Linked DNA regions of Coturnix japonica. The main gene of each other region encodes a partner of the protein of the gene in region 2 in a complex. Links are inferred from orthologs where the notes say so. Each region holds a gene or a part of one and is shown on either strand. Other genes may lie near its edges.

Region 1 (4,040 bases), on a different chromosome or scaffold from region 2:
TATCTTGCTGGGCTTTTATTCTCTTTCTGACAGTCTATCTTTAAAACAAACTCATACAGGGCTAAATAGTGCCCTAGCACAGCTGTTTAGCTCTATCTGCTTATTAGTTCTGATCAAAAATTTTCCTTCAATTTTCATTTTATGAAATAAATCTTCCCACTCTATAAACTGACTAGAAAGTACAGCGAAGAACCTGTGAACCTTAAAATGAGGTTGATTTTTTCTTATTAAGACTCTGCTGTCTACTCAGAATGCACGTGTAGGGATTTTGTTGTCTTTAGTAGTACCTGAGTAACCCTCATGCCTGAGATTAAATATGAAAACAAAATCCTTACAGTTTTATGAGCCGGTCTGACCCTGCAGTTCTTCCACGGCCGCTTGCTGAGTACGTGGCATTCGGTATCCACTACATCCAAGATGAGATAGAAGACAGAACCAGGGATCTCCTGAGCACAAGAAGAGAACAGGTCTTATTGTAGCTGTGTACGGAACACAATAAAAAGCTTACATGTGTTAACTGCACGTTTAGACTGAGATTATGTCTTATTGAAGAGGGAGATAAAACTAAATGAATTGATTTCACTGGTTTATGGGGCAAGAATCTTGTAGATGTCTGATGCCAATGTCTGTACCATTTTGATACGGTATTTCCTGTTTCCTGTGTCTCTCTTGTACAATATCAGCTCTGCAACTCTGCTTATTATGAGCTTATTATAAAATCTACACATCTTTTTGTCTTCGTGCTTCGGTATGCATCATTCTCCTCTGGGGAAAGGATAATTTGGGGTTTATTCAGAGCTCAGCAGATCTCTGAAGGTTTCATTATCCTTCTTTTAATTTTCATAAAAAGACCACTATGCAAGGGCCTTTGATATCTGCTTGGTATTGAATAAAGGCTTGTATCTTTTCTGCTCCAACAAAGAGATCCCCCCCTCAATGCTGCTGATGCGAGTAGTGCTGTGCCACGTGTGCTGGAAAGCTTGGGAGCCAAAAGAGATTTGGCAGGGACACAGAATTGATTGCCTCTGTGGCAGGATGTTCTGGTGCAAGGGGAAGAAATGAAGTATTTTGGCATGATTTGTAATTTTGGTTAAGTGGCTGTTATTGAAGCTAATCATGAGTATCGTATATGAAAGAAGGCTCTGTCCTACTTGCGTGTAAGTTAATAGCAGATGGCTTATTAGTTTCAATTAGAGCAAAACTGAGCCACAAGTTGCTTAAGGGCAGATTAGAATTTGAAGTCATTTTGAAAATGTTTTTATCGTAAGTACTGACTAAAAAAGTGGGAGGAAGGAACTTGGACTGATTAAATACACGTATATATTTCTTGAAATTTGTGAGGTGCATTGAAGGTTATATAATATTTTTACTGTCGATGATTATCCCTGACATAGCCAACTGCTTATTATGTGCTCTGTTCCAGCAGCAGCAAGATTGTGACAAAGGGCTTAGATTGCCTAGTGTGTTATTACAGTGTCTCAGAACACCTCACTTGTAGGATAAGCTTATTAGATGCTTACACAAAATAATAGCAGTAAATCAAACTCACAAAGAAACAAAGAACAAACTGTGCCCTAATGAAATAAGATTCTGGGGAATTAAATGGCAGATCAAATCCCGAACAAGGCCCAGAATCCCTTTGAGCTGAGCGGGACTCAGTATGGGTGAAGGGAGAAGCAAGGAGATGAATAGAGAGGTTTAGAGCTGCACACAGCTTTGGTGATAGGACTGGGCCAGCACCAGCTCCACAACCAGCAGTGTGGGCTCTGGACCAACCCACAGGTGTCCTATGTGGAAACAGCTCTCAGAAGAGCTGACTCAGTGCTGTGTGCGTTTGGGCCTGGTGCAGTCATTTAAGGCTATCCCTTGCTAATGCCAGTAGCTTCATCTGTCATTACACAAAATGAACTAAGCATGCATAGGGAAATAAAACATTTGAGGATACGAAAGTGATATTCCACACCTATTCCCTGTGTAATTTTTGCACTTGAACTGTTATTGGTTTTCTTCTGGAGAATGACTCATCATGTAGAGATGTGTAAAGGAATTCCCTGGTCCCAAGCTGGTTGTGTTTCCACCTGTTAGCACTCACATCTTTTGTGCAAAATATGTGGTGGCTTATTAGCTCTTGCACTCCAACAGCTCAAGGCAGTGGGGGGAAGGTGTAATATGAAATTAAATCCAAGGAGTGGTGTTTCATATCAAATCGGAACTGATGCCTGGAGCTATTCCAGGGGCAGGCAGCAGAGAATCATGCCTGAGCTTTGCTCTCTAATTGCCCACAGTGGTGATGAAACTGTTTCTATTCATCTGTGCGTAAAGGTGACATGGCCCCTGCAGTCCTGTGAATGGAGGTTTACATTTGTCTCAGAGTATTTTGCAGTTCAAATAACTATTGCTGGGGAATACTGATAGACACGGGGCTCTTCGTGAGAGAAACAGATGTATAACAAGCAGGTAACTTACCTGAGGATGTTCTCTGACACTGAAAATGCGATAGAGGCTGAGGATGTAGCCCTCTGTTCGGTCAGCATTGATCTGGTCAAGAGCCAGGTCTGCAGCCTCCTCCACTGCAGCGTCATGGCAGGAGGGGGAGAGCAGCACGCTTGGCAGCTCTCTGGCAGGAGCAGAGGCAGCCCAGGAGCAAAGTGCCTGCGTGCCAAAGAGCACTGAAATAAGTAAAAGCATTCTGCTTAGAAAAAGCCGTGCCGCAGATCAGAATGGGAGGCTGGTACGCAGGAGCTGAGAACTGCGTGAAATAGCAGGCTTTGTAATGGAACCGTGTGTTTATAAACTTGTGTCCTCTCTTTATTACGTACTGCACATCACCTTTAAACCTATAGCTACAATTGCAAACACTAAGTCAATGATTACAAGGTTTTATGCAAGCCTTGTGGCTCCCACTGAGAGCAGAGAGCACTTTTTCCTTCTGCCTTTACAGCTCCAGTTCAGATGTGGTTGGGCAGATCACATAACTTTGACCTCATCAGAAGGCACAAGAATATACCCAGAAAGCTGCTTTCTTAAGGAACCAGCAGTGCTCAAATAAACCTGTGCGCAGGACAGTTCTGGCTCCAGCTCTGTTCTGTCAGCGATCCAGGTTTTCTCCCATGTAAAACAATGACCAAGGTCTCACTGGTTTGAGTGGAAGCAGGGTAAGAGTGGAGAGGGTGATGGATTTCACACCTGGCATTTCTGTTTGTTAAATTCTAATTGTAAACAAACATACCAACTCTTCAAGTATGTTGTCAACTTGGAACTTTGCAGGGACAGAACGGTCAGTCTGGATTCATTCTCTGAGTATTTCTACTCACTTGGCTACCTGCAAATTATTGTTGACCCTTAGCCACGGCCAAGCAAGCAAAATTCAATCCATGTCCAGGCAAGAGGCCTGTGAACAAGTGGCCCGCTCAAGCCATTACATACTTCTGTACATACATACAACCTGATAGTGTAAAAAGATGTAACAGTTTCATCATGGTGTCTGCTTTTAACCAGGAGTTTCTGTTGTCTTCATTTGGGACTTAGCAATCGCTGTAATTGCGTATAGTAGCAGAGATGTGGTAAGCTGAAATTTGTTCTTGCCCCAAAGGCGTCACTTCTTTTAGTGGAGTGCTTCAAAATGAGCTGTTGTGAAAGGCTGGGGGAAACAGACAGTAAATGAAGCAGGGCTGCCAAAACGTTACTTGGTGGATGCTCCATTACAGAATTTGTTCCCTTGCAATGCCTTGACTCCAGCCCACTTATCTTTTGTTGCCTGGATCTCTCAATTTATTGATGCTTACCAGGTATTTGATCCACAACTCTGATTTCCCTGAACCTTTCCTGTTTCATTCCATCTTCTCCTGCCATCTGACTTTGTTCTTACTGCCACATTGAGCAGAACACTTTCTGAACTTGCCATCCTTCCACATTCCTTCTGATTCCAAATAGCAGGTGCTGTTCTCTTTTTATCTCCTCTAACCTTAACTTCTGGCTGCATCTGGTTTCAGCTCCTGCCTGGCATTGCCTAGCTTTGTAATCCTGTGGGTTTAGAGGCA
Region 2 (4,074 bases):
GAATGATGGAAACTCATCGTGCTGAGTCCTCAAAGAAAAAAATAGCTCTTATGCTCCACATTCATGTGAAACTCTCTGTTATCATTTGTATTAAGCACGTATTTCCTGAATGTTCCTGAACCCAGCATGGAAGCATTCTGGGATGGGGTTAACATGGAAGATCTGACTTGATACTGACAGGCATAAAATACATTACGCCATTCCTGGCAGCTTCGAGCGTCACCTTCTTGGCCTGCTGCTCTTAGAGTCCATCAGCGTCCATGGAATGGTGCAAAGCAGACAAGTGCTGCTGAATGGGGCCACGTTGGGCAGACAGATGGAGGCCATGCTTTGGTGGGAAACTGTGCTTTTTTGACGGCCGTTAGACTTCACCATGCTTTTTAGAGAGGTGAAAAGGAAGATGTGCAGAGATAAATAGGTTATTAGAATTACCCAGTCCAGGGCTGTCCAAATAGGAAGCTGACTTTCACCCAAACAGAAGAGGAAGTCACTTGAGCGGGATGCTCCAAGGGAGGAGCAGCAGGTGGGCTGGCAGTGTGGGCAGTGTGGGGAGCAGCACCTGGCAGTGGGGAGAGGGCGATTTGCTGCTCTCATCCTGCAGGGGTCCGTACTGACGTGGGTGGGGGGCACCCAATGAGTGGCAAAAGCCGACACGTGGAAGATCCACCAAGCAGGGAGGAAAACAAAGAGCAGGATTGCTTGTTGGTGAGGAAAAAGAGCTCTCCTGCTTTTAGAGGAACAGCTTTGCCTGTTGCTTTGTTGGCCGTTCTCTTGTGGTTTTCAGGATTTGCTGACCCCGAGGCTCTGGTTGCATGACAGAGCACGTGGTGCAGGAGCTGATGCCTTGGCTGCTCAGCACTTGGCTTCAGGCAGACAGCAAACAGTGCACCCATGGGTGCAGCCATAGGGCCTGGGGAGACCCCACTGCCACGCGGATGGAAAGTGCCCGTAGAGATGTGGTGAGCTGTTACACAAAGCCCTTCATGTCACCCTCATGAAACTGATTACAAATGGAATATAGAGTGGGGCTGAGATGGGCAGGTCAGGAGAGAATCATAGAATCACAGAATGGCCCGGGCTGGAAGGATCATAAAGCTCCAACTGCCCTGATGCAGTCAGGGCCCCATCCAACCTCCACATTGATACCAGCCCAGGCTGCCCAGGGTCCCATCCAACCTGGCCTTGAACAGCTCCAGGGATGGACGGGGCATCCACAGCCTCTCTGGGCAGCTGAGAACAGACTGAGAGCAGCCCTGAGGACCTTGGTTTCTGATGGCCATGGCTGTCTCTGGAGGGCAGGGCTGTGCTGTGCACTGAGCTGTGTGTCCTGGGGTGCATCGGCCGTGGGAAGCTGCTGTCAGGGCATTTGTAATCATATCTCTCTTATTTCTAATCTTTATGATATACTGTTAATTATTAATGGAGAGAAATGCCAGCTGAAATTATCATGTCACCAGAGTGCTATAAACTCAATAATTCTGTTCGAGCACGTGGCTTTTATCCAGCGCAGCTGAGATCGTAATGCTGACAGACAATAAACACGGTGGAAGGAGTCAGCAACTTTGGGCCCTACTGAGATGGTGCACAGAGCCCACGTGAGCCTTGTGCTGCATGGAACTGGGAGCGATCGCATTCCTCTCTAACATTCCTCTAAAGTGGACTTGGGTAAGGCAGCAATATCATCACCTGCCATTGAGGGGGACAATATGAAGTTATGATAACAACCAAGGAGGAAAGCTGGCAGCTGGTTGGCTGGTGCCTGTGGGAAGCTCAGCAGCGTGCCCTATATATTGCCAGAGATGAGGGGAGCCAGCTTCCATGTCTGCTGCAGAAATGGGCACCCACAGCTCCCTGCTCTTCCTGGCTCTCCTGTCATGTTATGCATGTGCTAATCCAGTCTCTGTAAGTAGAAACCTGATTTCAATGGGTTCCTCTCAATGCAGAAATGCCCCATACCTTATGCTGGCTCTGTGTTATTCTCTTGCAGGTTGAGCATCTCTCCAGTGTGCCTGGTAAGCACTCTGTGAACTGCTTTGAGTTCTGAAGCATTTTGTTTTGCCTTGCTGTGTTCCACCACAGCTGAGCACACGATGTTCTGTCTGTCTTGCAGCTGGAGAAGGTGATGCTGGTGAGATAATCAAAGACATTCCAGAAATAAACTTAGGTGAGTTCATGGCTAAATTCTTCATCAGTTCTGAACCTGCCAGTGCCTTCTCCCTGGTATCCTACATCAGGATGCACAGGAATGGCACAAAGATGCTCCAGGAGAGGTTCACAGTAGGTGCTGGGAAAAGTTTCTTTGCTGTGAGTGTGATCAAACAGTGGCACAGTCTTCCTGGAGAGGTGGTTGGTGCCCATCCCTGTCCATGTTCCAGAGGCATTTGAATAAAGCCCACAGTAATGACTGAAGTTTTAGTTGGCCATGACGTGGTGAGGCAGTTGGAGTGGATGATCACTGTAGGTCCCCTCCAACTGAGCTGTTCTACTCTACTCCATTCTTCTCCAGTCTACTCTGCTCTACACCAAGCAAAATGCTGATGTCTCAGGTCCCTCCTGTATAAAATTATTGTCTAGACATTCTGCGACCCTCTGTAAGCAAAGCATGCAGATGTCTTTTGCTTCTCTTGTTTGGATGGGCTCCTGGTGTAAAGACAGTATCACCCTTTATCAGTTTAAGGGCTCTGGAGTCCTTCCATACGTTTATGATATGTATGAAGCTTTACAAACTTGCTGCGGGGTGAGCTCAGTGCAGCCTGCCAGGACCTGAAGGGAGCCTACAGACAGGAGGGGAGTCAGCTCTGTGAAAGGGCAGATAATGGCAGGACAAGGGGAAATGGATTGGAGTTGAAGGAGGGAAGACTGAGGTTGGATGTCAGGGGAAGTTCTTTACTGTGAGAGCAGTGAGGTGCTGGAACAGCTGCCCAGAGAGGCTGTGGATGCCCCGTCCATCCCTGGAGGTGTTCAAGGCCAGGTTGGATGGGGCCCTGGGCAGCCTGGGCTGGTATCAATGTGGAGGTTGGTGGCCCTGCCAGTGGTGGGGGGTTGGAGCTTCGTGATCCTTGGGGTCCCTTCCAGCCCAACCATGCTGTGATTCTGGGATTCTATGATCTGGATAAAGGCTGTCACCAGATTTCTGCCACAGAAAGTGCTTAGTATTAAATACTGAGTAGAAGCCGGGGATAGACTTTGATTTCCTGTAAATGCATGAGGACGTGTCTTTGGATGAGTATGCTCAAATGTGGCTTTTGAGTTAAAATGATTATTTGATATTCCATTTACATTACCTTTCAATAAATTGCTTTTCAGCTGCTGGATTGGACCTCTTTCAGGGTGATATCTTGCTTCCCGTAAGTAATTACAAAAACCTTATTGCTCTCATTTGTCCCAATTGGACTTCTGGTACCCACCAGCCCATCTGTATCACCTGCATCACCAGCTGTCCATTCTCTTTCCAGGTCAACCAGCGAAATGCCTTAAGGAACGACACCTACAGGTGGAAGTTCCCCGTTCCCTATATCCTGGGTGATGACTTAGGTAATACTGGTACTTTATTCATATTCTAACTCCAGTATTTGTTTGCACTGGAATCAGTGCAGTAAAAAAATGTGCTTTGTTCAGAGCTGGTTCTGTCCCATTGATATCCACTATTAACCAGATTGCTCCTTTGCATCAAACCCTTTTTTTCTCCTACAGCTATCATAACAAAACATAGCTTCATCACATTCAATCAGTTCTGTTTCCATTCATTTTCCTTCCAGTCCCATACATAAACCTGTGTCCATTACCTCTCTGTGGAGAACCTCCCCTGCGTGCTAACGATGCTCTGTTCATGTTTGTTCTCCAGATCTGAACGCCAAAGGAGTCATTCTCCAGGCATTTGAAATGTTCCGCCTTAAGTCCTGTGTGGATTTCAAGCCGTATGAAGGAGAAGCAAGCTACATATTCTTCAGAAAAGAAAGCGGGTAGGGGAACATCAACTTCTGTTTATTTCTTCTGTGCAGAACCAACGGGAATTCATTTCATCCAGTTCTGTGTGAGCTGGTTGTTGTAGTGAAAGAGGCCACCAAGAAAGCA

Evidence for each region.
Region 1: the proteins of MEP1A (region 2) and FETUB are in contact, whole or in part, in a cryo-EM structure (PDB 7UAI), measured with the Homo sapiens proteins. The link is inferred for Coturnix japonica from reciprocal best matches to the Homo sapiens genes MEP1A and FETUB. Residues at the interface, in NP_005579.2 of Homo sapiens: Asp126, Gly127, Cys128, Trp129, Ser130, Glu131, Val132, Gln145, Gly146, Cys147, Tyr149, Ile152, His155, Glu156, His159, Tyr164, His165, Gln167, Ser168, Leu184, Gly186, Tyr187, His189, Asn190, Asp192, Tyr194, Tyr214, Gln215, Phe217, Ser218; in NP_001362516.1 of Homo sapiens: Phe109, Phe110, Lys144, Lys145, Tyr148, Met149, Thr150, Cys151, Pro152, Asp153, Cys154, Pro155, Ser156, Ser157, Ile158, Ser196, Ser197, Gln198, Trp199, Val200, Val201, Gly202, Tyr205, Phe206, Thr242, His245, Trp246, Phe249, Val250, Ser251.

Annotation. Positions count from the first base shown.
Region 1 is NC_029524.1:14,158,201-14,162,240, reverse strand, and holds the start of FETUB (fetuin-B), read right to left. Parts: upstream 2,801-4,040; 5' UTR 2,689-2,800; coding exon 2,467-2,688; intron 447-2,466; coding exon 336-446; intron 1-335. UniProt on the Homo sapiens protein: Protease inhibitor required for egg fertilization.
Region 2 is NC_029518.1:100,153,620-100,157,693, forward strand, and holds the start of MEP1A (meprin A subunit alpha), read left to right. Parts: upstream 1-1,274; 5' UTR 1,275-1,818; coding exon 1,819-1,902; intron 1,903-1,987; coding exon 1,988-2,012; intron 2,013-2,110; coding exon 2,111-2,164; intron 2,165-3,306; coding exon 3,307-3,347; intron 3,348-3,455; coding exon 3,456-3,534; intron 3,535-3,844; coding exon 3,845-3,962; intron 3,963-4,074.